4 linked regions of the Astyanax mexicanus genome follow. The protein of the gene in region 1 purifies or fractionates together with the protein of each later gene. This does not show direct contact. Links are inferred from orthologs where the notes say so. Each region holds a gene or a part of one and is shown on either strand. Other genes may lie near its edges.

The links.
Region 2: the proteins of eps15 (region 1) and ap2b1 purify together in Homo sapiens (affinity purification with mass spectrometry; 3 studies listed by BioGRID and IntAct, with this or other methods). This does not show direct contact. The link is inferred for Astyanax mexicanus from reciprocal best matches to the Homo sapiens genes EPS15 and AP2B1.
Region 3: the proteins of eps15 (region 1) and fcho2 purify together in Homo sapiens (affinity purification with mass spectrometry; 3 studies listed by BioGRID and IntAct, with this or other methods). This does not show direct contact. The link is inferred for Astyanax mexicanus from reciprocal best matches to the Homo sapiens genes EPS15 and FCHO2.
Region 4: the proteins of eps15 (region 1) and ap1b1 purify together in Homo sapiens (affinity purification with mass spectrometry; 3 studies listed by BioGRID and IntAct, with this or other methods). This does not show direct contact. The link is inferred for Astyanax mexicanus from reciprocal best matches to the Homo sapiens genes EPS15 and AP1B1.

Annotation. Positions count from the first base shown.
Region 1 is NC_064419.1:46,970,628-46,978,424, forward strand, and holds the start of eps15 (epidermal growth factor receptor substrate 15), read right to left. Parts: upstream 3,018-7,797; 5' UTR 2,949-3,017; coding exon 2,922-2,948; intron 1-2,921. UniProt on the Homo sapiens protein: Involved in cell growth regulation. May be involved in the regulation of mitogenic signals and control of cell proliferation. Involved in the internalization of ligand-inducible receptors of the receptor tyrosine kinase (RTK) type, in particular EGFR.
Region 2 is NC_064408.1:29,619,935-29,627,606, reverse strand, and holds the start of ap2b1 (AP-2 complex subunit beta), read right to left. Parts: upstream 3,011-7,672; 5' UTR 2,884-3,010; intron 1,461-2,883; 5' UTR 1,440-1,460; coding exon 1,403-1,439; intron 1,261-1,402; coding exon 1,155-1,260; intron 612-1,154; coding exon 476-611; intron 1-475. Other genes in the region: pex12 (peroxisome assembly protein 12), read left to right, coding at 3,262-3,393, 6,674-7,209, 7,367-7,672. UniProt on the Homo sapiens protein: Component of the adaptor protein complex 2 (AP-2). Adaptor protein complexes function in protein transport via transport vesicles in different membrane traffic pathways.
Region 3 is NC_064408.1:22,662,822-22,670,261, reverse strand, and holds the start of fcho2 (F-BAR domain only protein 2), read right to left. Parts: upstream 3,021-7,440; 5' UTR 2,767-3,020; coding exon 2,734-2,766; intron 1-2,733. UniProt on the Homo sapiens protein: Functions in an early step of clathrin-mediated endocytosis. Has both a membrane binding/bending activity and the ability to recruit proteins essential to the formation of functional clathrin-coated pits.
Region 4 is NC_064429.1:35,995,332-36,002,772, forward strand, and holds the start of ap1b1 (AP-1 complex subunit beta-1), read right to left. Parts: upstream 3,018-7,441; 5' UTR 2,800-3,017; coding exon 2,776-2,799; intron 1-2,775. UniProt on the Homo sapiens protein: Subunit of clathrin-associated adaptor protein complex 1 that plays a role in protein sorting in the late-Golgi/trans-Golgi network (TGN) and/or endosomes.

The sequences.
Region 1 (7,797 bases):
TAAGCGACATAAAACACGAGGGCACGACTTGACTAAACGCTGACTTCTCCCCTTTGCTGAAAAATCATTATATAGTTTTAAAAGTTATATATACACTTCAGCAAAAACGCTAAAGCTACATAAGCTAAGCTAGCTAAGCTAAGCTAGCGTTAGCTTAGCTAAGCTAACTCAAGTAAACAAGCATTGCTGGAGCAGCTGCTTCTGCTGCTTTTATAAGGATAAAAAATGATTTTTTTTACATTTAAGCATTATTCACGCAGAGCAGACATAATTTAATATGATTAAATGTGTTGAAGTTGTAAATTGTGCTGTTTTGAAGTCTGACTGGGCATGAATTGGTTAAACACAGTAGAAAAGAAAACTGATGTCCTGCTTGAGTTGTTCTTAAGTATGCAATAAACTGTTCATTTATGATACATGTGTGTATTTATTACTCTCATATTCTTATGAAATATGAAACAGCTTCACTAAATCACACACAATGTTTTATGTCTCTCATACTTCATATATCAAACAATGTGAGTTAAAAATAGGAATATGCACTGATACCCTTCCTATACTTATTTTTAATATCAACAGATTTTTTATATCAAAGTATTTAAGCAGTATTCAAGCAGAGCAGCCAGAATTTAATATGAATAAATGTGTAAAGTTGTGAATATTGCTGTTTCTAAGTCTGATTGAGCATGAAGTGGTTAAACTTAGTCAAACCAAATAAGAAGGAAAAAGTGATGTCCTGCTCGAGTTGTTCTTAAATATGCGAAAAAAATGCAAATTTATGATAGATTTATGTGAATTTATTACTGTAATATTCTAATAATATTAAACTAGAAAATTCAATTGAAAATAGGCATTGTATGCACCAATATCCTTCCTATACTAAAGCCAGATTTCCAATGTCAGGGTACTGACATCTATAGATATAAGCAAGGATATGGCTATTCTATGTAAAATATATTTATTAGCCATATTTATAGTGTTCCATGGTAAATGCAGTGTTCTGTATCCCAAATATGATACAATAAGCTTAAAAGAACAAAATTGCCTAGTTTAGTAGCTAGTTTGCAAGCCAGCTGCACATTTGAAAACATAGCTAAAACGCACACATACAAATAGGAAAGCATAAAAACAGGAACGTATCTATAGCATTCTATTGCAGGCACTTAAATCAAACAAACCCATTGTGATGTATGTGTCACAGACCCTTTAAAAACTCTTGAAGTTCTTTAGCCAGTTGAAAGTAGAGATATACACTAATACTCTTCCTATAATAAAGCAAGATTTTCAATAGCAAGAATACTGATACCTATAGCTTCATGCTAGGATATGACTCGTATAGTTACTATATTTATAGCATATTAGTTATAATATATTATTTATAGCGTTCCATGGTGGCTAATTGCAGTGTTCTGTATCCCACATAAGATATACCAAGCTTTGTAGAATAGCATTTACTAGTTCATTAGCAAGGTAGATAGCCAACTACACATTTAAAACGTTTCAGAGAAAAAAATTATTGAAGCATGAAAAAGGGAAGTGTCTCTATTGCAGATACTTGTCTCAAAAGAAGCCATGGTGACGTATGTGTGTCACAGATCCTTTAAAAGCTGTGTCTGTTTTTCTTTACTTTAACAACTTTGTGACACATAACCTACACATAATCACTACAGGATGCTTTAATGTATTTGTATTTATTACAGAATGTAGGAGAGGTTTAGGGTTAGTGCTGGAGATAAAACTACACCAGCTTTTTATTTAAGTGTATTTACTGTTATTTGCATTTAAGTATTCAAACATTCAATGCTGTTGTCATGTATGTTTAACATTATTATTATATTTTAAATTTACAGACATGGCCCACAGTAACAAACACATATAAATTAGCTTCTTATTGAATTGAAATTGGTTTCAATATTTAAAAAATGGGTCTGGGCACTTATATGGTTAAATATACGGAGCTAGCTATATATTGGTTGTATTCAGAGACCACTTCAGTTTCTTTTTCAGTTTTGCTATTTAAAGGTATATGTTTGAGTAAAATAAACATTGTTGTTTTATTCTATAAACTACTGACAACCTTCATCCCAAATTCCAAATAACAATATTGTCATTTGGAGCATTTTTTGCAGAAAATGAGAAATGGCTGAAATTACAAAAAGATGCAGAGCTTTCAGACCTCAAATAATGCAAAGAAAACGTCCACTTTCATAAAGTTCAAAGATCAGAACTCAATATTTGGTGGAATAACCCTGTTTTTTCATGCATCTTGGCATCATGTTCTCCTCCACCAGTCTTACACACTGATTTTGGGTAACTTTATGCATTTACTCCTGGTGCAAAAATTCAAGCGGTTCAGATTGGTTTAATGGCTTGTGATCATCCGTCTTCCTCTTGAATATATTCCAGAGTTTTTTATTTTGGTATAATTAAAGATTTTGAAGTGATCTCTTACTTTTTTCCAGAGCTGTAAATTAGATACTGATGTCTATGAGAGCCTGTTAGCTTCCTAGATTAGCTAACGTTAAATAAAGGTTGTTTAACAGTTGTTTATCCATTCTCAACACAAAATCTGTAGTACAACCGAGCACTGAACGTTTATTAAACGTTCTTCGCTATCATCCAAGTGAGTTTAGAGAGAAAACAAGGCGATAAAAGCTGGTAACCCACCCATTTATAAACTGACACTAACTACGCCCTTCCCGCAGCCCACAGCTCAGATCAGCCTGCTAGTTAGCATTAGCCTGTTAGCTAGAAACTTTTTCCAAAGCACTGTCTGCACAAACAACCAGAGAAAACAAAAACCCGGCAGAGTTTAACCTCAAAACCCGCCTAGCCCGGACAGCTGGACACCAGGCTGAGGATTAGCGGCTAAAGCTGTTGGAGATAAAGCTGTATTAACGCGCAGAATCAGTATTTATTACCTGAGTCAGGGAGAGACTGGCAGCCATAATGTTTCTGTTCCCACTAGTCCATCACCCTGCGCTGCGATAGGCAATGGGGCAATATAGGGAGGCTGGAAACCCCGGTACCGGATTTACTCCATAAAGGAACGGACTGCTGCAATATGACCTCAGTCTAGCGCGCACACAGACGGCGGAGCAAAAACCTGACATGGATTTCAGGTTTTAGGAGAAGGCTGCTGTATTTACATTCTGAAAACTGTTTAGTGATCTTACGTTACTTTCTAAGATTTTATTTTACATGTATCTCTGGGAAAAATTATGAGTTTCTCTGATTTTACCAAATGAAAAACCTCTGGAATATAATTAAGAAGAAGATGGATGAGCACAAGCCATCAAGCTAAAATAAACTGATTGAATTTTTGCACCAGGAGTGGCATAAAGTTATCCAAAAGCAGTGTGTAAGACTGGTGGAGAAGAACATAATGCCAAGATGCATGAAAACTGTGATTAAAAACTACGGTTATTCCACCAAATATTGATTTCTGAACTCTTAAAAAACTTTCTTAATATAAGTGTAGCCAGCTATTGTGGGTGTGTGTGTGTGTGTGTGTGTGTATGCGTGCAGGTGCAGGGGGCGTGAACGAGTTACGTCATTAACTAGGGCGCCAGCATTAGCGAGTCAGTGTGGTCCTGCAGGCACTTATATACGCACCTATAGGGGGTCCTATTGAAGGTAGCACTGTGTGGCTAAGCTAACGCGAGTAGCAGCGTGGGCTGGAGACGATTCTCTGAGCTAGTGAATTACTCAGTGAGAACAGGAGTGCCCGAGGCTGAGCGACTGTGAGTGGCTATAAATAGCAACAGTCTGTGTTTGTGCCTGGCGACGTGATATAAGAGGTAGGCTGGCTAATTATATGATATGCTGGGGTTAAGTTACACTGTTTGTTTGTTAACTCTTGGCTAAGCTGCTTGTTAATCACTACTTATTCTGACTAACTTTTTTTTACACTCTGTTTGTTTGTTAGCTCTTGGCTAAGCTGCTTGTTAATTCCTACTTATCCTGACTAACTTTGAAGGTATTTTTGATCAGGTAGGCTTAAACTATTGCACTTTTTAAAGTTCTGTAATAGTTTGATTATTTTAGCTTTGGTTGCTACCACTATATTTAACTGCTACCACTATAGTTAACACTAGTACTCTTTCGAATAGTTATCTGGGGGCTCTAGGTAAGATGTATGTCTCCATATGCTCTGTAATAGTAGGCAAGTGTCTGCTGCATTCTAATTGTACATTATTAGAGACACTATGCTTTTGAGCTGCTTTAGCTCCATGTGCTGTCTTGTAATAGTTTGAGTGTTTTAGCTTTGGTTGCTGCTATTATATTTAACTGCTACTACTACATTTAACACTAGTACCATTTCTAGAATGGTCACTTGGGGACTTTAGGTAAGATATGTCTCTATGTTCTGAACAGAATGCAAAATGGGTTTTATATCATGTTTCAATTGCTTTTGTGTGATCTATTTCTAATAGAGGTTTAAAGCTGCTACCCTGTCCATGGGCGAAGTTAGCATTCCACCTTGAGTTAAGTGGTATGTCTCTTCTGGTAATTGAATGCAAGTTGCACTGTTTTTATGTGATGAATGTATTAATGTGTGTTTTGTGTATTTGCATAGAGAGCCACAGTTCCAGTGGTTGCCAGTTGCTGTTTTCTGCTCTTTTTTTGTATTTCTTTTTTTTATTTTTTTATTCTACCATAAATTTTGTAGCACTAAGTGTATTAACTGCTCAGGTATTTTTAAGTATTGTGGTTTTTAATGATGTGCTCTGTATAGACTCTAGCCTAGTGGTAACCACATGGTACAATTAGTCAATTTTAGCTGTGGCTATAATTGTTACTGGGACTGGGGGTTTGGAGTCAACCATATTCGGCTAAGTCCTGTTCACTAGAAGTGTGATTCTTTTTTTTTTGTACTTAGTTTATTTTATTTTTAAGTTTGCTGTGCAGTGATTAAGTAAACTTTATTCACGTGTGTTCTTTTGGTCCTATTGGATTGACTTCATATTTCTCCATACCCTGGACCCAGTGGTCATGGGTAAATTGTGATTTTCTTAAATTTTTATATATATATTTCCTCTCACCCAATAAATGAAACTGACAGTAGATTTGACTTTGGTACGGTTTTAAATAAATCATTGTATTTTGTACTACAGTCAAGTTCTTGTGTCTTATTTGAGAGTTCCCCTTACTCTAAATAAAATAAGTAATTTAAGGGGTGGCGTAGTCTGGTAACCCCTAGTTAGGGGCCGCCACATAAGTTTGCTTTCTTTGCATTTTTTAAGGTCTGAAAACTCATCTTTTTGTTACATATACCTATTTCAGAGAATTGATTTGGTCTCTTAATTGTTTTCCATAGCTGTATATATATATATATATATATATATATATATATATATATATATATATATATATATATATATATATATATATATATATATATATATATATATATATACATATACATACATATATATACATATATATATACATACATACATAAATTATACCTAAGCATATTTCTAAATACAGGATGATCTCAATTCAACAAAATGATACAGTTTTTGTCACTTAAAAGTTTTTCATCTCTAAAAAAAAGATGTAGGATACTGGATAGAAAAATAATACAAATTTGATTTAAGAAAAAAATAATAAAAAAAAGTAAACTATATATATAATATAGGAAAATGTTTAAAATAATGAAAAAGATGCCATCTGCCATTCTTTTTGAACACAAATGTATAACCTGCAAGCTAAAATATGCACTGATGAATTTTGTACTATTTCCAATTAAAGCTGATGTCTGTAAGTTTTGATCTACTGAGCTCTGAGTTTCCTCTTCTGAAGTCTTCAATGCTCCACCAGCCGCTTGCGTTCAGTAAAACTGAGCCGGATCCTCTTTTAGAGGCTGTACGTGTGACGTAAGTATGTAAAGACGTGTAACGTGGCCAAAAGAAGAACTCACGCGAAAAGCGACCCAACACCCCAGTTTTTAGAATTAATATATGAATATGGCTTAGCAGGGATATAGGGATAAAATACAAAATATTTTATCCCTATACTTCTCCACTCAGAAATGCTTCTGCTTTCAGTTTAGAAACAAAATAATACGGACTGCCACTTTAACGTAGACTAAACTTTTATAACAATGTATTGCTTTATTGTACAGTATCCTAACTATGGTTCAACTAATATGTCTGTGTGTATCTAGAAATAACCCCAGCCCATCCCAGGTTTGGGATAATGGAGAAAAAGCTTGATCCTTGTATAGTCTATAAGAAATGACCATTCTTTATCGCTTAATCCTTCTGCATACACACACCTGTAAATACCTGCAGGGTGTAAATACCTGTATGTGTGCATATTTTAGAATGTGGTAATGAATGTGAATGTACTGTAACAGAGTTTATAGTTCACACAGGAACCTGCCAGTGCGGAACACTGAAATATGGACTTCACCATAATATATATTTTAGGTCACAAATGCATGAAAAAGCAATGTTTAAACTTCCACAGATGCATATTTTTGAGCTAAGATGCTTGTGCTCTAGTGCAACATCTACTGGCAGAAATCATATAGTGCTCCCTTAAAAAGCCACTTTTTACCTCAAAATCTCTAAAAACCAATAAGCTATTTGGTGCTCCTTCAGTGCATACATTATCTAGCATCCCATAAGATTTTTTTGGTAAACTAGAGCCCAACAATAATAACTCACAAATGGAGATAGACAGTAAATAATAATATTTTTATGTCTGTTATTACACAAAAGGTCTAATTTTATTTTATTGGAAATATGACATTTTGTGGTAGCCCTGAAGCACAACAATGGATTAACACGTCCAGTTAGTCTAGTTTCTAGTCTAGTACCTCAACTTCAGCATTAACTCACTAAATTAAAAGAGTATCAGACTCCAACAGCATAAACAGTGTTGTTTAATTTAGTGTGTATTTGTGCATATAGTAAAAAAGTGGATGTGAGGGGGAGACTGCTTTTTTAACAATTTAAAGGCTTAAATGCTCTCAAAACAGGATCATTTTGATAAGAACCTAGAGCTGCATATCACAATATTTTGTTGTATTGTGATATATATATATATATATATATATATATATATATATATATATATATATATATATATATGTTACATATGTTATATAATGTTAGATATACAGAATACAGACATTTTACTAGTTTTCTTCAGAGGTCCATGATCCATTATGTCATGTCATAATCATAGTACACTCTCACAAGTGAGAATATTCCTTTCATACTAAACAAGCAAAAAAAAAAAAAAAGCCTGACCCTTTTCATTTTATTTGATCTTTGAAATCGAACATCCTGGGATTTGACTATTGCACATGGGCATATTGCAATGATGATGATAAAACAATATATGAGTGAAAGTCATAAATTATGTAGATGTATAACACACAGAGTGATTTATTTTTATTGATTATTTATTTTATTGTTGATGATTATGACTCAGTGTCTCAGAAAATTAAAATATTATATAAGACCAATTGGTACTTTTGGCAGTGTGCCAAGTCCTGCTGGAAAACGAAATCCGCATCTCTATAAAAGTTGTTATCGGCAGATGGAATCTGTAAGATATGAAGCGCTGTAAGATTTTGTGGGAAAACAAAACTGCACTGACTTTAGACTTGATAATAAAACACAGTGGATCAACACCAGCAGATGACAGACATGGCTCTCCAAACCATCACTGATCATCAGTACATTTCACATTTCATTTATAGATCAAGAGAGCAGAGTCTGGAGGAAGAGTGGAGAGACACACAGTCCAAACTGCTCGAGGTCTAGTGTGAAGTTATAC
Region 2 (7,672 bases), on another chromosome or scaffold:
TACCTGAATTAAACAATGACATACTCAGAATTTTACACTGTGAATCATGATGACCATACAGATCCTAAAACAATAATTGCAATATTGACCACTTATATATTTAATAGGCTTTAGAGAAACAAATTTGCAATAAAACAGCTCTCATCTACAGCTTATAAAAACAGAGCTGGACTACTTCAGTTTAGTGATGTAAATGTAGCCTAAATGCTTCCAAAAGTTTCTCCAAGCTTTCTCCAAACCAACAGAATACAGTGGAATATTTATGACATTAAATCTCACAGAACATGTTTAACCTAGGGTTATTTCTAAAGAAGAATGCCACTATCATTTTGAAAGATAAAGGAAAAGCTACATGCTCTATGTGTTTATAATGTTTAAAGCAAGTGGTTTAAAGCAATACCTATTGAGAGTTAAGTTGCAAATAGCATAAGCACATTTTAAGCATCTCTTCTTTAATATCAAGAGAAAAACTTGCCTTTACAAAACTGTTGACAGCCATAATGGCCATATCAGGCTGACTCTTGGCATAGTTCATCAGGTATAGATAGACCAGTTTCTTCAGCTCCAAGTTATCAGTCTGCATGCAGTTCACCACATCCGGGAACAAAGAGCTACAGAGAGGAAAGAACGAGGCAGGATAGATTTAAATCAAGATCACCACCATCAGCAATATACAAATCTCCTCATAATCTATTTTAAATAAAGAGACAAACTTAAACAGTCAAATGAAAAAAAAAAACAAAAAAAAAAAACATGCTAGCACTTTGAAACACTTTTACTTGATTATTGACTAGAGTGTTTAATAGTCACAGAATAAGGAATGATAATAATAATAATAATAATAATAATAAAGCATCAACTGCAGTGCAAAATAATAAGTCAAAATGAAAATGAGCTAAAGCTAAGCTAAATTACAGCCTACACAGTGTGGGATTCATTTAAACATTTTTCTAACAAATAATCCCCAAGAAAAAAAAGAAATTAATTTCGTTCTCCTTACAGAATCATTATAAATAAATTACAACTGCGATGTCTGTGGCCCAAACAATTAAAAAACATATAAAGCAAATAGCTCACAGAACACGTGACATTATTGCCCTGAAAATGATCCTTGCCCTGCATTTAAATAACAGTGTCCAATAAACCCATCATACCTGACATCCTTGCCCACGGTCATGGCAGCGATGACTTTTTTCACCGCTTCCTTCCTCTTCTCCTTCTTCTCATTGTTTAACTCAGCTTTCAGTTCAAATATCTCTCCTATAGAAAATAATAATTGTAGGGTAAGGTTAATAAAACATAAAGCACTGACCAGATAAAACTACCATGCCAGGTGTGAGTGAGGTTTAATTCAGATTTATTAATGAGAAAAAATAAATGTCAATCAAAGTTAAAACCTTACCTTTTTTGTTTGTAGTGAAATACTTTGAGTCTGTCATTTTGATTGGTGTTCAAGTTCACTTCAGAGAAAAGCACACATTAAAATAATACAAATAAATATGTAACCACAAATAGGAGTCTCAATTTATGTTGTGAAAGTTTTTTTTTTATAATGCAAAAAAATAGCCGTTTGGCAAAAAAGAATGATAGATTTAACATAAATCTAGCTAAGGTTACACCCATAGCCAAATTATCTCGCTACCTACCCTATTGTATATGTTTTATAGGACATTTACTGAAATCTCTTTCAAACCCTGTAACTTATTTAACACTTACAAAGGACATAAGCTCTAATATTGTAGTAGTTGTATGTGTTGTACGATTTAAACGAGCTTTGTTGTTTTATTCTATAAACTACAAACAACATTTCTCCTAAATTCCAAATGTAAATATTGTCATTTATTTGCAGAAAATGAGAAATGGCTAAAATACCAAAAAAGACGCAGACCTCTTAGACCTCAAATAATGCAAGGAGAACAAGCTCATTTACATATTTTTAAGAGTTCAGAAATAAATATCTGGTGGAATTACGCTGGATTTTAATCACAGTTTTCATGCATCTTGGCATGTTCTCCTCCACCAGTCTTACACACTGATTTTGGATAACTTTATGCCACTCCTGGTGCAAAAATTTAAGCAGTTCAGTTTGGTTTGATGTCTTGTGACTATTCATCTTCCTCTTGATTATAATTCAGAGGTTTTCAATTTGGTAGAATCAAAGAAACACATAATTTTTAAGTGGTCTCTTATTTATGTTCCAGACCTGTAAGAATATATGTGTGTATAGTTATGCGTGTATATCTATGCATTAAAAAAATTTGATGGTGTAATGATATGTAAACTCTTCAATAATTATCATTAATCCAAAGGATTTGTAAATAAGTTTCTTAAAAAAAAAACCCTTAAATAAATTAAGAAAATATATAAGTAGTTTACTATATATTTGGCTATGGGTGTAATGTTAGCCAGGTAGGAAGGTTAATATAGTCATGGTGAATTTAAAAAGAGATATATGTTCAGTATAAAGCTTATTCTGCTGGAAAACAAATGAAAGAAACGTCTAATATGTCTTAATAACTTTATCTAATCAGAATGAACATCCGAAACACAGCAGGCCGGCCAGGAATCCGTTCATATCCGTTCAGCTCCATTCTCAGACAGAACACTGTTTATTTATTTACCCATAGACAGAAAACACAGTATATTCAGTGTAAATAATGTATTTAAGCTCGATATTTGAGGCTCCCATAGCAATTACCCCTGGGTGTGACCGTTTAACGTTAGGTTATCTGGGCTAGGCTAACTAGCTAGGTAGCTTGCTAAGCTAACCTATCGCTAGCTATCATCTACGAAAAATGAACGACATTCGTTAAATCGGCCTTTTAACTCGCCTCGCCAGCAAATAAACAGACTGTCCAAAACAGCAACAATAAAAGCCCCTACCTCGGAAACAGGAGCGGAGAGGATTTTAAAGGGTATCCGGGTGTAAACGGAGCTGGAGTGAACCGCTGCTGCTGCTGGCCGCTTTCACTGCCACAGCTGTAGACGGAGGGGGGAAGAAGATGGAGCGGCCGGAACGGAAAGTTGGGAGCTCTTGGAAAAACACGGAACAGCCATGTTGTTGCACCGCCGAGGTGCAGAGAATGGCATGCGTTAAACAGTGTTTACACTGTACTTTGGCCACTATGGCGCCCGGTTCTGGTTGTTTTGAGCGCAGAGTGGGTTATAGACACCGCTGTTCGCTTCCTAACTGAAGTATTCTCTGATTTACAGTCTAATTTTGAAGTTTAAGTAGGTTATCTATCTGTAAACTCGCTCAGAATGGCGGAGAGAGGAGCACATCTGACCACAGCAGCAGCAGCAGCAGTGGAAGACAGGCCGAGTATTTTTGAGGTTTTAGCTCAGGACTCGTTGATGGGTGCTGTCAAACCCGCACTGCAGCACGCCGTGAAGGTAAGCCCGCAAAACAACTGAATACTGAGGACTGCGTGTTGTGATCCTGGCGATACGATACTTGAAGGGGTTACGATTCGGTATATAGCAATAGATTGTGATACTATAAACAATTCCGTATATAACATCGACATCAACAATTTTAACTCTCATAGTATGAAAGCATAATTATAGTTAGAGAACATTGCACCACTTTTGCGTAAGTTCCTTCTTAAGTTTGTGTGTAAAGTCTCTACTAAGTCCTTAATAACTACTAGTTAGTTTCAAACTATCCCTCTGGTTACACCACAAATCCATATTATTATGTACAATAACGATTATCATCACAACCATAACAGGTTGATTTATTGTTTTGTATTCAATACTGTTTTTCTTAAATATTTAATCTCAAAATATTGCAATATTATACAAATCAATTTTTACATTATAAATTTAATATTGAAATCATTAAAGCTGTACATGAATATGATTGTTAAACAGACCAGAATATGTTTCATATTTTAGATTCCTCCATGTTTAGCTTTAAGGACAGATCTGCACAATTGGTATTTTTCAGTGTCTTTATGAGGTAGAGTCACCTGGTATAGTTTTCTTAGCGTCTTAAAGGAGTTCCTGAAGGTGCTAAATAGTAGTTGCTGTTTTTCCTTTGCACTAAGCTCCAATTCCATATATGTGCCTTAATTGTTTTTATGTGTTTGTTATTAATCTACAATTAAATAAAGAAAAACATTTTATGAGGTGAAAGGTTTGTCCAAATATGCCTGGTACTGTAGTTATAGCTTTGTATTGGATGCAGTGATTTTTTTTTTATTACTTTTTTCACTTTTTCACTTCCAATACTGAGGCAGAAGTTAACTTAAAAGTTGATACCCCATACCGATCTGATATCATTAGTCGAGAGACTTTCTTAATTGACTTAAACATTTACTAACCTTGCAAAATCAAATATAGTTTAACATATTGGGCCTCGGTACAGCTTTTAAATTCAATATTAAAGAGCCTCTAAACCATATTGTTTCTATTAATATATGTTACTTTAAAGTAATGAAACTAGGGCTGTCCCTAACGATTATTTTTTAAACGATTATTCTAACGATTATTTTTTTCGATTAGTCGACTAATCTATTCATTGAGAAACATATTTAAATAATTATTTTACGTTTTAAAGCAAACGATAAATTACTATATTTATATATAATAACAACAACAACAACAACAACACAAGCCTACTAAACCAAACCCCACACTTATAATCACTTACATGTACAGCACGTTGTTTAGATCTATAACGCTAAAAATGGATAAGCTCCCATACACCACAACCGTGTGTTGCACTGTTTTCTGTGACCGCTAGATTTTGTGACCACTGGCAAGTAGTTCTCAGCAGACCGGTGCACTGGCCGATTCGAAACGTGTTCGTTTCTAATGTTTACCCCGACTGGCCAAAACGGTTCAGTTTAGGGCTGAGGGTAAGGTGTAGGTATAGAAAGCTTCCGTTTTGCCAATGAACGCTCATAACCGTGAGCACTGGTCACAAAATTCCGACGGTGACAGAAAACGGTGTGACACCGCAGCGCCGACGGCGCTAGCTAAAATAACTTAAGGCAGCTAGCTTAGCTAAACACCTGAACTTATGAATAATGCTACTGTTTCTGGAAACTGCGAAATGCCATGCACAAATATAAACCAAAAATGTATAATTTCTGCCTGTGGCAGGTTTAAAACCTTTGGTAGACAGCCTTAAGTCTTTTTAAGGACACCCGCGGAGACCCTGATGTAAACGGTAACTTACTGTGTGACCCTGTTGACATAGTGCTCCTGGATGTTTGCGCTTCAAGTGCTCCTTTTGCACGTATGGCAGAGGACCACATTGTTGCCCTTTTGCGTGAAATGCTCCCAAACTTTAGATGCCCGCTGGCGTTTTTTTGTAGCTGGAGATTGCTCTCCGGAGTCCAAGCTCCCTAGAGCTTAGATTCTCTGCCCGAACCCGACATGACCCGAGGCCCGCCCGTAAATCCGACCCGGGCTCCAGAAAATAGTCCGAGATGTAGGCGTCTGTTTTTTAATTATATTTTTATTTAAAAAAAAATAACGAAAACTGAAAGTGAAACTAAACTAATTTATTTATAAGCGCTGTTTTCACTACCGCAGTTCTACAGCGGGGGTGTTGTGCCGATTCTGTCCGCGAAGCGGGAGTCAGATTCAGCAGAGAGTCGGATTCGGCACAAACGCGGCGGCACCTCGCGGTCCGCGGTGTCAGTTGTAAGCGCTCGCGCTAGCCGCAAAATACGGCAGAAAACACTGAGGGAGCTGCAGAATTATGAATGGGACTAGAATATGAGCACGAGGAGATCAAAGAGAACCTTCACCTGTGAGTAGAACAAGCAAATCTCTCTCTCTCTCTCTCTCTCTCGCACGTGAACTCCTCCGCGTTTGACTTGCAGAACTGTGTTTAGCTGTTCTTAAAAATCATTTTAATTAAATAATAGTTCTATGCTTCTATGTTACCGTGTTAATTAACATAATTCTGATCATATTTCGCTCATTAAAACAGCCCGAAAACAGCCAGTTGGAATTTTTGGGCCCGATCTAACCTCTAATGCTCTCCACAGGCGCCGCCATGTTTACGACGCGCCGACGCACGTTATGCAAATCGATGTATTTTTGTAATCGATGACGTCGATTATGTCGATGCGTCGCCCCAGCCCTAAATGAAACTAACCAGTACTGCTTTTATTATGGTAATTTCTGCCTCTGCAGTGCCCTCTCAAGTTCAACTGTGCTATAGGCGTGGATGATGTGTCTGAGTACTTTGGTATGCAGACACCTGATAATATGCAGATCAGTCTGTCAATAATGGCTCCCTCCTGCTGACGTCCAACCATCTGGGTCTCACCGCTATCTCCGCACTTCGCACACAAAACTTATATTAATATCAGATCAGTGCATCCTTAATACCAGTACTAAGATAATACTAATACTAATAATACTTTTGCTTGCTCAGAATAAAAACATGCAAGCAACATTATGTAAAGTAATATAATATTATATTGTATTATACATTTATAAAACAAACTGACATACTGAATCCCGCAGAGGACATAAATACAAAGGTATTTTAACACAGTTGTAAAATAAAATTGTTCCATAAAATAATTCTTACCACTTCTTGCCTTTTCGAAAAATGATACTTTAGTATCAGTAGTGTCATAACCATCAGTAGTGTCATAACCTATTTGTGTTGTTCCTTCTGTGGTTATTTGTCATTATGTATACTTAGATCTTGGCTGAATCCAATCCTGATCGATATGGAATTCTCTGGAGGAAGTTTGACGAGATCTACGCTGTCCTGGACCTCCTGCTGCAGCACCATTTCCTGTCACGCACCAGTGCATCATTTTCTGAAAACTTCTACGGCCTGAAACGGGTAGGTGGAGACAGCACTCGAGCAGCCTACCAAGGCCTCAGCCGTAGGCAGCACCTGCGCTCCTTGCTCCTCCTTGCCCTCCTACCATACCTGCGGACCAAGCTGGAGAAGGTCCTGGCCCGCCAGAAGGAAGAGGATGACTTCTCCATACGGCTGCCACAGTCCTTTACTCAGAAGATGTACAGGGCCTTTCTGGCTGTCTACCCTTACGTGTGCATGGCATGGGATGGCTGGACATTTTTCCATCAGCTGTTTTACGTTTTTGGAAAAACACGGACACACTCACCCCTGTTGTGGCTGGCTGGAGTTAAATTGTCTTACCTCACAGCTCATGACATTCGCAGCTTGGATCTCAAACCAACAGGCCCCGCACTGAGCCCCAGTCAGAGGTGAGCATTATTATTTATTAATGTTATAACTGACTAATTTGGTCAAGATAAAACTCTGATAAAATCCTATATATATTTAGTGTATTTCAGTAGAATTAAGTGAAAAATTCTCTGGTGAATAATGCAATGTAATTGCGAATTGTTTTTCCCTCAACAGCATTGGAGAGAAGCTGCATCGTGTATTGTCCACAATGGTTGGAGGCGTGGCAGTATCTCTCTCCACTAGTCTCTCTCTGGGTGTGTTTTTCCTGCAGTTTCTGGAGTGGTGGTACTCCTCAGAGAACCAGAGCAACATAAAGTCGCTCACATCCCACCCTACACCTCCACCCCCACTTCATCTGGAGGACCAGGACTCTCACACAAACAATAAAGTCTGCCCACTGTGCAGGAAGTTGCGCAGCAATGACACGGCCCTGGCTACTTCAGGCTATGTCTTCTGCTATCGATGCATATACATGTACGT
Region 3 (7,440 bases), on another chromosome or scaffold:
TGGTCTTCAGTACTGCCCGTCATTGAAGGAGGAGCTCTTGGACAAACCATCCCACATTTTAGCCAAAAGTTTGTGGACACAGCTGTATTAGCCAAACGTATAAACATCCCACCTTTTATCCAACAGTTCTTAGACTCAACTAATTAACCAAATGCATGTGGACAGAACTGGACTGGCAGCCTTTCCAGTCTGTATCCCGATAACTCTCAGGTTCGGCTCCCCAAAAAAACTAAATTGATTAACCAAGAACTATACCAAGGGAACACCTTAGCAAACACCTTTGCAACAAACACCGGCTCAGCATTTATATTGACGGAATATAAAGAACAACTACCAGGTTGTGAAACATGGAGATGAAGTGTGATGCAGGACAGCGATGATATTTAGCTAGCTACTAATACAAACAACAGTACAAAGCTATATACATCTAGATATCAGCTGAGGTAGCTGAAACCTGGCAGAATTATCTGTTAACCTGGGTTATGTCATTATTGTACAGTGTATTTTATGAATATGTTCTTCTGATGGCTAATTAGGATTCCTGGTTGTTTGCAACTTGTACATGTCTATTGTTCTTTAACTTAAATCTTTTGTTTCAATTATATATCTAAAATAGTTTAATATTGTCTATAGTCTTTAATTTATGTTAGTTTTGTTACTTGTAGCTTGTGTGCTAGTGGACAACTAACAAAGTAAGACTTTCATAGTCTTGAGATATAAGCTTTTCCTGGGCAGTGGCATGTACTAACACATGTGGGCAACAACAGTAGATTAACTAACCTAGGTTATGTAGTTATATATCCTAGCTATGTTAGCTGTCTATTAACATCTGGATGTTGCTTCAGGGTGATGAAGTCTAGTAATATCTAAGAGGAATGTCCACAGCCAAGAGCTAGCTATCTACTACACTTCTACTGTCACATATTTGGTTTGTAAGACAGCATTTTTATAAACCTAAGAAGGTACAGTGTTGGTCTGTGAACTAGAATTACTGAAACCTGTTCTGTCCAACAGAATTCACAGTTAATTAGCTAAGATAATGTTAACTAACGTTAACATCATATCAGCCCAAAAATCCCACAACAGTGCATCTCTAGTTATGACAATGTTATTTGCCCACAGCAATGTTAGGTTAACAGGTTAGCTAATGAAACTACATATTTCTGTCAGACCTAACTTAAGTCAGTCTCAGTCACCTGTGTGTTAGTAGGCGACAAGTTAGCAAAGTTAGAATTTCATAGTGAAGTATAACAATCCTGTTTTTTATGTGCACAGGACAATAAACACTGGGTATGTAAAGACCAACTAGCTACCAGGTTCACAAGTGAAAATATCAGCTAAACGTGGAGATATAAGGTTTTAGCAAGGCAGTGACCATATGTACTAACGTGTGTGAGCCACAACATTAGGTTAACTAACCTGACGCTAGCTTGTTGGCTATAAACATCTGTGCGTATCTCACAGGAACTTCTCCAGTCAGAGCTACTACTACACTTCTACGGTCATATATTGTTTCTGTTAAACTGCATTTATATAAACCTAAGAAGGTACAGTATTAGTGTCCAAAACAAAGCAAAGTTTAATTAGCTAAGCTAAAGCTAATTAGCTAGGTTAACCTTACATTAAATCAGCCCAGAATTCCCACAACGGTGCCTTTCTAGGTAATTATATAATTAATGCACACAGTGCACTTATGCAACGATCTTTGTCCACAGAAACGTAAGGATAGGTTGGGTTAACTTATTTCAGTATTTACTTTTCTAATAAGCTTGTGTGTTAGTGGACGGCAAGCTAGCAAAGATAGACTTTCATAGTGAAGTGTAACTGTTCTGTTTACTGTGTACAAAATATCAGCTAAACGTGGAGATATAAAGCTTTTATCAGGCAGTGACAATATGTACTTATATATGTGTAGCTCACAATAGTAGGTTAACTAACCTAACACTAGCTTGCTGGTTATAAACATCTGGACGTTAGTTAGTTATAGCTACTTCATGGTGCTGGTAAGACTGGTTAATATCTATCTATCTGACTGACTGCAACGCCCCCAGTCAGAGCAACTACTACAGTTCCACTGTCACATATTTGGCCTGTAAAAGAGCATTTTTATAAACCTAAGAAGCTGCAGTGTATGTGTGTGGACTGGAATTACTGAAAACTAACTATGTCCAGCATAAATCACAGTTTAATTAGCTGCTCCAGTCTGGCTAGGTTAACATTACAGCCAGTGCTGGCCTCTCACTCAAACTTCACCACGGAAGAAAATGGGCAAAAAAACTGACAACACGCGATTGACAACTGCAACAGCCAATCAGCGTTCAGAACAGCGTCATTAACATTCCAGGACATAGGCCGACAGCCAATCAGAAGACGCGGTGGTGGATTGTAGTTGGTTACTGGTGTTGGTCGTTGGTTCTCCGAGGCGGCCCAATCCCCGGCCTGGCGGAGCTGCCACTGGCCGGATGAGCAGCAGGGGGAGCGGGGCAGCGGCTTCACCGCGCTGTCCCCCTCCCCGAGCAGGCTTCCCCGGTAAGCTTTCTGCAGTAAAGCGCCCACACACCGGGTTGCTACTTAGGTTAACTGACTAGCCTCCAAACACACACAGTGCCGGCCTCTCTCTTTCTACAACTAGCTCCGGCTAACTAAGCTAAGCCAGCTGTGTTTGGAGCCGGCGAACCAACACACAGCAAACATAATAATAAAGCGAATCATAATAAAAACACGCTCACTTACCCAGAAACTCTCCAGGAAATAAGGCGCTATCATCTTGGTGTCCTCCCTTCTCTCCACTGCCAATCTTCCCTCGTACTTTTAATTAGGTTTCTGTGATATCAGACGCGCTCAGTCCGCCGTCCTTCTCACGGTTTTGTTTTGTCTGCGGATTTTTCTCTTTTTTTCCTCCCTCTTTCGTGTCTGCTCGTTTCCCCCTCTGATTCCAAGACTCCTCCTCCTCCTTCTGCACCGCCGGCACTTGTCTGCTGCTCTCCCGAGTCCGGCCGCGGCCTCAGTCAGCAGCACACAGCGCTCGCCGGGTGCTGTACTGTAGTGCATTACTGCAGGAGAAACAGCGACACCAGCGGCCAGACTGAGGAACAACACCACAGCCTGTGTGATTAGGTCTGCCACGATCACAATATTTTGTGGACGATATATCAATATGGCGAATTGATTTTTGTGATAAACAATATTATCGTCAATATCTTTTAAAGAGCATATTTAAAGAAAACAAATTTAATTAATCATAGTTATTCCTGTCACATTTTTTTATAAACAATATATCATCAAATAAATAATTGTGATATGCAATATTGTCATTTTAAGACCATATAATACAGATGATATTGTTTTATTACGCCTTTATTTCCTTTTAAAGAAACCCATTTAATACTGGAATCATAGTTAGGCCTGTCACGATAACAATTGTTTTGTGTATGATATATCGTAGAAGAAATCATTGCAATAAGCAATTTTATAGTCATTTTAAGACCATACAGCTCTGGAAAAAATTAAGAGACCACTTCAGTTTCTGAATCAGTTTCTCTGATTTTGCTATTGATAGGTTTATGTTTGAGTAAAATAAACATTGTTGTTTTATTCTATAAACTACAGACAACATTTCTCCCAAATTCCAAATAAAAATATTGTCATTTAGAGCATTTATTTGCAGAAAATGAGAAATGACTGAAATAACAAAAAAGATGCAGAGCTTTCAGACCTCAAATAATGCAAAAATGCATATTCATAAAGTTTTTAGCGTCCAGAAATAATTTGGGGGAATAACCCTGGTTTTTAATCAAAGTTTTCATGCATCTTGGCATGTTCCCCTCCATCAGTCTTACACACTGCTTTTGGATAACTTTATGCCTCTCCTGGTGCAGAAATTCAAGCAGTTCAGCTTGGTTTGATGTTTTGTGATCATCTTCCTCTTGATTTATATTCCTGAGGTTTTCAATTTGGTAAAGTCAAAGAAACTCATCATTTTTAAGTGGTCTCTTATTTTTTTTTTCCAGAACTGTATAGTATAGATGATATAACTGCTTTGTAGGGGTGTTCTATATCGTATTGTGCGCATTACTATTGCCAACATTTTAAATATATCGTGAATGATATTATACCCTAAAATATAATATCACCCACCCCTAATTATCACATCAGGGTACCCCTTTTTGCTGTTTTTAGCAAAATAAAAATTCACACTGTTCTCATGTCCTATTATATATATACTAGAGACAGATTATATCTGTCCAGTATCATCCATTTCACTTCAGTCCTGGATATATGGAAATATCTGGAGTACATTATTAGTATCATGACATTCTGTTTATATTTTTTTATATCTCAGTTGGGGTGTGCCATATCATGTCATATGCAGTAATAAAATTGAATTCATTTAGTTGCATGAGTGTATTCTTAATTCAGTGTGTTGGCATATTGCCAAGAGTATCGTTATCACAAAAATATCATGATATATCGTGATATTTTAGGGCAATATCGCCCACCCTTATTGCTTTGTTATGCCATTATTTCCTTTTAAAGAAAACCATTTCAATTAATCATAGTTAGGCCTGTCACAGTAAACAATATATCGTCAAAGAAATCGTTTCGATAAATATTATTGTCATTTTAAGAACATATAATATAGATAATATAATGGCAAAAAAACAAAGCACTTATTACCTTTTAAAAAATAATATTGGCATTTTAAGTCCATTAAATGTCACAAATATAAGGATAACGCAACATCTTAACAACAAAATCATGTCCTTTTTTATGCTGGTTCTCCCCCAGGAATGAAGCGTTTGGTGCATTTCCATCAACAGAAATGGGTTCTGGAAACTTAAAAGTTTCCAACTGGAAGTAAACTAAACTAGGTTACAGTGGGTTCTTCACCACAAACTGAGAGCTGTTGTGCAGCTCCTTTTTTTTGACGATTCTGTGACTTCTCATCAGTTTTAGTAAAACCGGTGCAAATGTGGACTGGTTTGCTGAAAAGCACCAATACTCTGGAACCAGTTCCAGAACAGTATGGAGCAATTATTGAATCACTACATTACATTTTGGCAGACGCTTTTGTCCAAAGCCACTTACAATAGTGAAGTACAAAAGTAATAGAAGTTAAAGGTAAAAACATCTTTAGACAGGGCCTAAAGGAGGTCAAAGGGAAATAAGGGGATAGAGGAGTGAAGGAGGGGAAGAAGGAAATGAGGTTAGAAGTAGTTAGTGTGTTAGAGGTGTTAGGAGTCCTTGTGCAACTGGCTAAAACACATTTCACTGTTATAGTTATATTTTTGTTAGTGCATTTGTCTAGTCATCTAGTTCCCCATGGATTTTAGATTTATCCAAACCATATTCTTACAATTATTTACAGCTCAATACAAAAAATAATAATAATATACACATACATATACACACATTTTGATGTACTTGAATTTTCTTAATTTGTCATTGTTTAACTATTTATATGCTTTAATGTTATTTAGGTTTTGTTGTGTGATGATTTATAAGGCTATTATACAATTACATGAATCTAGTGCAAATTTACCACCGTGATCTTACATTAACACAAAAATTTGGTACTGAGCTAAAAAGGAAAAAAAACTTTTTACAATAGAATTGTCAGGTTTAGCTACTTTAAGCAATCTTGTGTTTTGCCAGAGCTGAAGACTAAAGATGAATTTATGTTGGTCACAATGTTGAAAGTAGGCTTTCTTTCTTTCTCTATCTACCCTGAAAACATCCTTAGTTCATTTCAGACTTCATACTACTCATGTGAAAATTCTGTAGTAGTAAAATACACTAGCCAGGTTAATATTAATCACTAAAGTAAAATGTGTGTGAAATGCAGTCAAATGATCTTACCACTTTAACCAGAAACCAGAAGCCAAATGCAACAGAAACGAGAAGAACAGTTTATGAAAACGGTTTATTTTCAACAATGTACAGATCCAAGCAGTGATACAAACTCACATCCATCACAAGGTCATACAAACGTCATTACAAAATTACTACAATATAGATTATTTGCATGATCCAAAATATTTGGTGGCCCCCAAAAAAATTATTACCTTCGATATTTCCATCTCTGAAATTGAGCAGCTTGCCAAAGACGAAATAAAAACTAAAAAAAAAAAACAATTCTCATATAAGAGCAATGGGAGCTAATGAGCAAAAAGGATTTACATGGTTATTACATTATTCCTTAACTATTATCTCCCCTAACAGAGCATAATACAGTAGTTGGTGCAGTGCTAAAGTGACACATTTTAAATAGTACTTACAAAAACAAAAAAAGTAATAATATCGTAAGTATTTAATATTGTGCAATCTCTGTCTCCTAGCAGAACAGATTCCCCCACAGGTATCAAGTCTAATTGCAAGGCATCACAGTAAATACTGCACTTAAATTTCATTAGCACAAGTTGCTACTATTCACATACTATTGTGCCAGTTTCTCTACCACCCTGTTATTTCACTAAAACAGCTCTGAATTGCTTTACGTTAAAGTGGACAAAGCTTCCAACACGTGCTCACCTATTGTTAACGTGTGCCTGTTTCTTTCTTTAATTTCCTTTTTTACCCCCCCAATAAACTGTAAAACTTTCCATTGGCAAATAGTGGAAAATTAGTCAATGCCTGATGGATTTAGTGCTGCAGATTCTCAGCTGATAGATGGAGTGTTTACAATGATACTCAATCTACCATCTCTCTCATAACAATCAATCTCTACTGATCAGTGAGAGCAGTTTGCAGTGTTACTCAGAGTTGGGGGATGGGCTGGAAAAAAGGCATATATTAAAACAATTAAACAAAACTGAAACAAAATACAAATGGTAAACATGCCTCCTGAGGATTCTACAACATAAAATATTCAAGTAGAAAACATCACATAGCAGCGTTCGTATATTTAAGACAACACACTAACAGCATTCAGTTTTTTCAACATTGTCATTTTTCAGTGGGATCGAAGCACCAGCACTGAATAAAGCCAAGCCTTTCATACTCTTTGCTGGAATGTGACAGACAGACTTTTAACAATCTTAAACAATCCTACCAAACAAACATCTTAAATCACATCAAATAAGTCGAAAAAGCCTGATCATATCCCGTGGTGTTTTTTTCTTCAGATGGCACATAAAACCGGTCACCTTCATTAGCAATTTTAAACATGATGAACTATTAATGTGTTTCTAAAACACCTTTTTTCTAACGCACTTTGTTTATAATTGAACGGGGTAAAAGTTTTGCTTATATTTCAGAAAATATACATTTGGTTTGTAGAAACATCTTTTAGTAGCTAATACTAAACATAAATCATTCTTGCTTTTTATACAGTCTTCCAAGTGCAGAAGATTGCCAAAATAAGAAGTACTGCTGCTGATTGCTCTGACCTGCAGAGCTATTACAGTTAATATCTCTGCCTAAAGTGATCTTCAGAAGCCA
Region 4 (7,441 bases), on another chromosome or scaffold:
ACTTAATTTTTTTCATCAACTGAAATTAAATGTCTTAAATAAACAGCCATATATATTTTCCAGATTACTCCATTTTAACACCTAGAGTGAACATGTTTAAACTAAGAGTCAGCTCACTCCTACAGTGGAATAAAATAGTTTAGGGCACCCCTGATAATTTTCATGATTTTCCTTTTATAAATCATTGGTTGTTGAGATCAACAATTTCAGTTAAATATATCATACAGGTGCTGGTCAACGAATTAGAATAATTTGAAATAGTGCAATCATGAAATTCTTTGAATGCATTTTTTGTGCAGAAAGCAAATCAGGTGTTCACCGCACCTGTCCTACTCGTTAGACTAATCACAGAACTCGTTACCTGGAAAAAAATTTGCTCAGCTGAGCTTTCCAAAAGGCCCATTTAGGCCATTTAACTGTGACACTGTTGTTTTATTGAATTAGAATAATGGAGAAACCGTTTCATTGAATTAGAATAAATGCTCAAATTTTTGTTTTCTGTGAAGAGTGTTCACTGTGCAGTATAAAGTCAGGGTTAAGTAGAATTTCTAAGTTGTAAAATCAATCATGGGTAAGCAGCGCGACCTCTCAACCGGAATAGTGGCTCAAATTCAAGCCCTTCGCCAACAAGGCTTGACCCAAACTAAAATTGCTGAGCAGCTCGGCATCAGCCAGTCTTCCGTCTGCAAAGCTCTCAAGAAAAACTGCAGCAAGCGCACCAACTGTTCCGGCGTCCGAAAAACTTCTGCTCGCGACAACAAGCAGCTGAGAAAGATCGCAGTCAGCAACCGGTTCAAGTCCACTTCCGAGCTCACCGACTTGTGGAACAAGCAGACCGGCGCTGACGTCTCCAGATCAACCACTTACCGTCGTCTGCGCGAACTCGGCTTCAAATCTCGCGTTCCAGCAGTAAAACCGATGCTGAACAAGAAACAAATGGAGAAACGGCTGAAGTGGGCCAAAGAACACGGCGAGTGGACTGCTGAAGACTGGCAGAAAGTGGTCTTCAGTGACGAATCACGCTTCTGCATCTCCTTCGGTGACCAAGGTCCTCGTGTCTGGCGTTGTGGTGGCGAAACCTACAACCACGAGTGCGTGAAAAGATCCGTCAAGTTTCCCCAGAGTGTTATGGTCTGGGGATGCATGTCCGCTCGAGGTGTAGGGAAACTCTGCTTCCTCAAGAAGACTGTCAATGCTGCCGTATATCAAGATGTTCTGGAAACGTTCCTGATTCCGACTGTTGAGGAACAGTTCGGCGAAGAAGACTTCATATTTCAACAGGATCTTGCACCGGCTCATGCGGCAAAGTCGACCAAAGATTGGTTCACTAAAAAACAGCTTGAAGTTTTGGCATGGCCGGCCAACTCGCCTGACCTCAATGTCATTGAAAACCTTTGGGCCATCGTCAAGCGGAAAATTTGCGACAGAAAGCCTACTACGCTGGACCAACTGAAGCAGAACATCGCCACTGCCTGGGAAGCTGTGAGTGCGGAAACTTGCGACCAGCTGGTCAAATCGATGCCGCGGAGACTTCAGGCAGTCATACAAGCCAAGGGGGCAGCCACAAAATACTGAGAAAGTGATGATTGTAATTATAATAAAAATTATTCTAATTCAATGAAACGGTTTCTCCATTATTCTAATTCAATAAAACAACAGTGTCACAGTTAAATGGCCTAAATGGGCCTTTTGGAAAGCTCAGCTGAGCAAATTTTTTTCCAGGTAACGAGTTCTGTGATTAGTCTAATGAGTAGGACAGGTGCGGTGAACACCTGATTTGCTTTCTGCACAAAAAATGCATTCAAAGAATTTCATGATTGCACTATTTCAAATTATTCTAATTCGTTGACCAGCACCTGTATAGTAGACAAACATACTGACACACAACTGAGAAGTGAAATGAAGTTTATAGGATTTACAGAAATTGTGCAATAATTCCTTAAACTAAATTAGACAGGAGTATAAATTTGGGCCCCAACCGAAAGATTACATTAATATTTAGAAGATCCTGCTTTTTATCAGTATTAACAGCTTTTAAACTCTTCCTATAGCTTCCAAAAAGAGTCTGGCTTCTGGCTGAAGGTATTTTGGAGCATTCTTCATTATTTATAAATGATTTATAAAAGACAATCATGAAAATTATATATCAGGGTGCCCAAACTTCTTCACATAACTGAACTGAACCTTAGTAAACTACATAAACAGACACGTCACTTCAAGAATTAGATTCAGTTTTATATTCTCCAGATCACTCTGTATAATCCATATTTCTTAAACAACTGCTAAAATAAATGTATAAGCTAAATAAACAACTGTAACAACTTAAATAACTCATATTCTTAATTATTATTACTATTATTGTTTTTATTAACTAACGTTATATGTTTACTACAGCCAGGCTAAACACAAACAAGCTAAACTGGCTAAACTGCCTAAATATCGTTAAATGAATTACTTTCCAACATTGACAAGCTTCTATTTGTGCATTTATCCACATTTCTGTAACATTTACAGCACTGTTATTTATACTGTTTTACAATTTAACTGATAAAAAGCATTAAAAACTGTGTAAACAGGCTAGATAAGTCGTCAAACTATGCTAAGCTAAGCTAGGCTATGCTAAGATAGTCTATGCTAAGCTAACGAAACCCAACATACACACATATTAATAAAAAACACACACAAATAATATTAGCAACAACAAAAAGAACACGACTAAAGATAATACCAAGTGCTAATATTATATATTAATATTTAAAATAATAATAAACTCACGCATAATTGACTCGCCCACTCCATTTTTTCCCAGCAGATTTCGTTAGTTAGCACAGTTAGCTAATGCGCTAGTTAGCCCGGTTTTAAAGCAGTCAAATGAATGGTAGCCGAAGCTAACGCTAGCTAACCAAGCTAACAGATGAATGGAAGTCAACGTAAACAGGCTAGTGAATGCTACTGAATGCTAGCGGATGCTACCGCGCAGGCTAGCGGCTTGACCTTCTGCCTGAGCCGAGCTGAGCGCAGCGCTCACCGGGCTCTTAAGCCTTTAATCCGGCAGCGCTCGGACCCCGCCCGACCCGCGCGGTGGAAACAGTTTAAATATAGATGCGGGATCTGAATTAAAGAGGCAGAAAGCGGCCCGAGATAAATAAGCCCGAGTTAAATCAGCTTACCTTAGAAGAGTGAAGCTGCTGCTGCTGCTGCTGTGAGTCCGGCCTGGTTCACTCCCAATTCATATGATTCACACTTCCTACTGCCCACTCTCTCACTCTCACTCACTCTATCACACCCAGCACTGATCATATTACACCCATATTATATATATATAAATATATTACATTAATTATTTACCACATTAGTTACTATATAATTCAGTATTAGTTAGGGTTTTTAATGTAAAATTGAATGTATTAGTAGTATATACTAATAATATACACTATAGTGCATGGAAAACAAAATTCACTTAAGTTACCATATGGTACCATATTATAGTAATAATTTCACTCTCCACTCCCACCCAGTACTGTGCACTGCTATTATAATATTTAATATATACTATACATATATTACATTAATATATACTATATATAGTCGCTGTCCAATGAAAAACAAGCATCTCTTTATTTTTGTCCATTTTTTTTTTGTGACCTGAAATAAACTCTTTTTACATTGACTTCCATTATAAGTTAAGAAGGATTTTTCTCTCTCCTGTAAAGTTGATCTTTTGTGTTTCCTAAAACAACGGACAAAAAAAATAGTAGAAAACAGTATTAATATTGTTTGGCTCTATAAAGCTTACCCAGAAAAATTCCAAACAATACACCAATAATACACTTTCCACTTTCCATATATATGCCTGAAAAAATGAGTTTAGAAGATTATATATTATATATTATGTGCTATATAATATAATATAGTTTTCATGTTACATTGAATGTATTAGTAGTATATACTAATTATATACAGTATAATGTTTGCAAAACAAAACTCAGTAAAGTTACCATATGGTACCATATTATACTAATAATTACATTCTCCACTTTCACCCAGTACTGTGCACTGCTATTATAATATTTAATATATACTGTACAAATTATATATAGTCGCTGTCCAATGAAAAACAAGCATTTTCATTTTTGTCGATTTTTTGTTTAATACATAATTTGAACAGACAAACTGTCCCTTACACTGTGCCGAAATTTCTAGATGAACAAACCAATAGAAATGCTTTAACATGGCCTGAAATAAAGTATTTTTACATTGACTTCCATTAAAAATTAAGGTTTTATCTTTCTCCTGTAAAGTTGATGTTCTGTGTTTCCTATAAAACATTACAAATAATTAGTAGAAACAGTGTTAATATTTATATTTATTTCCTTATGATGCAGTTTCATATTAATTATGGTGGCCATATGATGTAGTGTTTCAGGGTTTGTTTTCTTTTTAATGTAAAACCTAAAATAATAATATACGTATATATATATATATATATGCCAAGCTACATAAAGCTTACCCAGAAAAATTCCAAACAATACACCAATAATACACTTTCCACTTCCCATATATATGCCTGACACAATCATTTTTGAAGATTATATATTATATATTATATGCTATATGATGCAGTTTTTATGTTACATTGAATGTATTAGTAATATATACTAATTATAGACGTATAATGTATGCAAAACAAAATTCAGTAAAGTTACCATATGGTACCATATTATAGTAATTTAACTCTCTCCACCCCAACCCAGTACTGTGCACTGCTATTATACTATCTAATAAATGTTTTTTTATTTATTTATTTTTTTTTTACTATGTTATTTGCCATATGGTTCTTTTTCTTCATGTTAAAGTAAATGTATTAGTGGTATAAAGTAATACTACATAGTATACTGCATGCACAATTCAGAAATTTACCGTAAAATATATGGTATATACATTAGTATGTATGATAGATAATGTATGATTCATATTGATATTTATAGATATATGATCCATTGTTTGTTGATTTTTTTTTCTGTATAATTAATGTGTAAAATTAATATATTAGATTTGTTTATTATCTAAATAGCCATGTGATGCAGTGTTTTGATACATTTATTGTATATCAATAAAAAAAAGAATAAAATAATTGGATGAGAAGATATGTCCAAACATTTGATTGTTATAGTGTAACATTGCAGTATTATAAGGTGTGGTGCTGAGTTTGTGCTGTAGGAATGGAGAGCGGTTCAGTTTACTGAGATAAATAATTCACACACTGTTCCACCTCTTCAGCTTCAGTCTGTAGTGCAGAGTTTCTACATCGCCTCAGACTAACTACCCTACACACTGCTGCTTTATATATAACATATATTACATTACATTATACTGTATTTAATACACACTACATTTTATTACACTGCATATTAGACCTTACATACAATAATTTTAATAATGTAAAATTTGTGTGTTTTATAATGACAGCCATATCCAGAATATAGATTTCTCCAACATATATTTAATGTTGGGTTTCCTGACCAAAGATACTTATGGTTAATTACGCCTTAAATCTAAGCAGGTTCATAAACAATCCTCCTAAATAAACACAGAACTGCAGAAACCCACTCTACGACTCTTTCTCACAGATTTTTAACAGGGATTTAAGTGCCTGTGACTAATACACACACACACACACACAGTGTTACAGGACTGTGTTTAAAAGCTCTGTATGTTGTGTATATTTGCACTGTTTGCACACAATCAGACCAGAGCTCAGTTTCTTTGTTGGTGGGTAATTTAGTCGCAGTGGGTGGGAATATTCTTTATATCTAAAATCGAGCTAAAGTGATCAGTGTTATATTTATAGCAGTTTTTTCACACCTGTATTTGGTTTATCTGGTCTGAATCAGTTGATGAGTTCATTAACTTTGAGCGGTTTCCCCTCAGTTTGGTTTGTTTTCACACAGGCAAAAACCTGAACAAACCCAATGCTTTACTTCAGTTTGCGGATTTTAATTTTTTCAGTGCAGTGGGCGGGGCTAATCTGCTGTTTGACTGGCTAATAAATGTCTTTTATGATGAATAATAGGTGTGGAGTGAAAGATTACATGTTGCCATGTCAATTGCCACACGACACTGCCTACAGGACACCGGCCACAGGACACCGCCCAGAGGATGCTGCCCATTGGACGCTGCCTACAGGACACAGGACACTGCCCAGAAGACGCTAGCCATAGGATGCTGCCAACAGGATGCTGCCTACAGGACATAGCCCATAGGACACTACCCACAAGATTCTGCCTACAGGATGCTACCCACAGGATACTGCCTACAAGACACTGCCTACAGGACGATACCCGATACCCACAGAATGCTGCCTACAGGTCACCGCCCACAGGTTATTACTCACAGGATGCTGCCTACTGGACACTACTCACAGGACACTGCCCAGAGGACGCTACCCGCAGGATACCACCCACAGGACACTGGCCACAGGATGCTGCCCAGAGGACGCTACCCACAGGACACTACCCACAGGACATCAGACACAGAATGCTACCCACAGGACAACGCTCAGAAGATGTTGCCCACAGGATGCCGGCCAGAGGACATTGCCTACAGGACCCCACCCACAGGATGCTGTCTACAAGACATCATGAATTAAAAAAAACTGAGACACAGATCAGAAAAACAGCTTTTATTACAAGAACAAAATTAACAGCAATTGTTTTTTTTTTCCAAACAACAGTAAAGTCCTGGATTTGCAAATATTGCTCTTCAAACCGACCAATCGCAACAGCTCAGTCCGAGATTCGTCCAATCACCATCCATCTCCAGCTCTGCAGCAACAGAAGAGGAACGCAGGCAGGAGGAGATCAGATTATTATTTTATGGGTACGGACAGAAAGTGGGCGGGGCATGCATTAGTGGGAGCCAATGGAGACGTGAGGGGAAAAAAGCCATGCAGGTTTAAAATACATCCAAAATAATCCATAAATCCATAAACATGAAGCAAAAAAACAGAATCAGAACCGGAGAGGTTCTATCAGAACTGATAAAGCTGATTCACCATTAAAGCAACATGTGGGTCGATACCGATACCGAGGTCCAAACCAGCGACTGTAGAAAAGCATGGACAGCTTAACGTTTCCATGGTAACGTTAAAGAAATGTTATAAAAACGTTACACAACTTTGTTCAAAGTTCCCCCAATGTTGGGAGTTTTTTTGTTCAAAGTTGCCCCAATGTTAGAAGAAACATTTCCACAGTGATGTTAATGAAACATTTTACAAATGTTACACAATTTTGCTGCCCCAATGTTAGCAGAAAACATTTCCACAATAACATTAATAGAATGTTCTAAAAATGTTACATGATTTTGTTGAAAATGGCCCCAATGTTATTCATCTTTTTCCACAACAAAATTAATGGACGTTTTAAAAATGTTACACAACTTC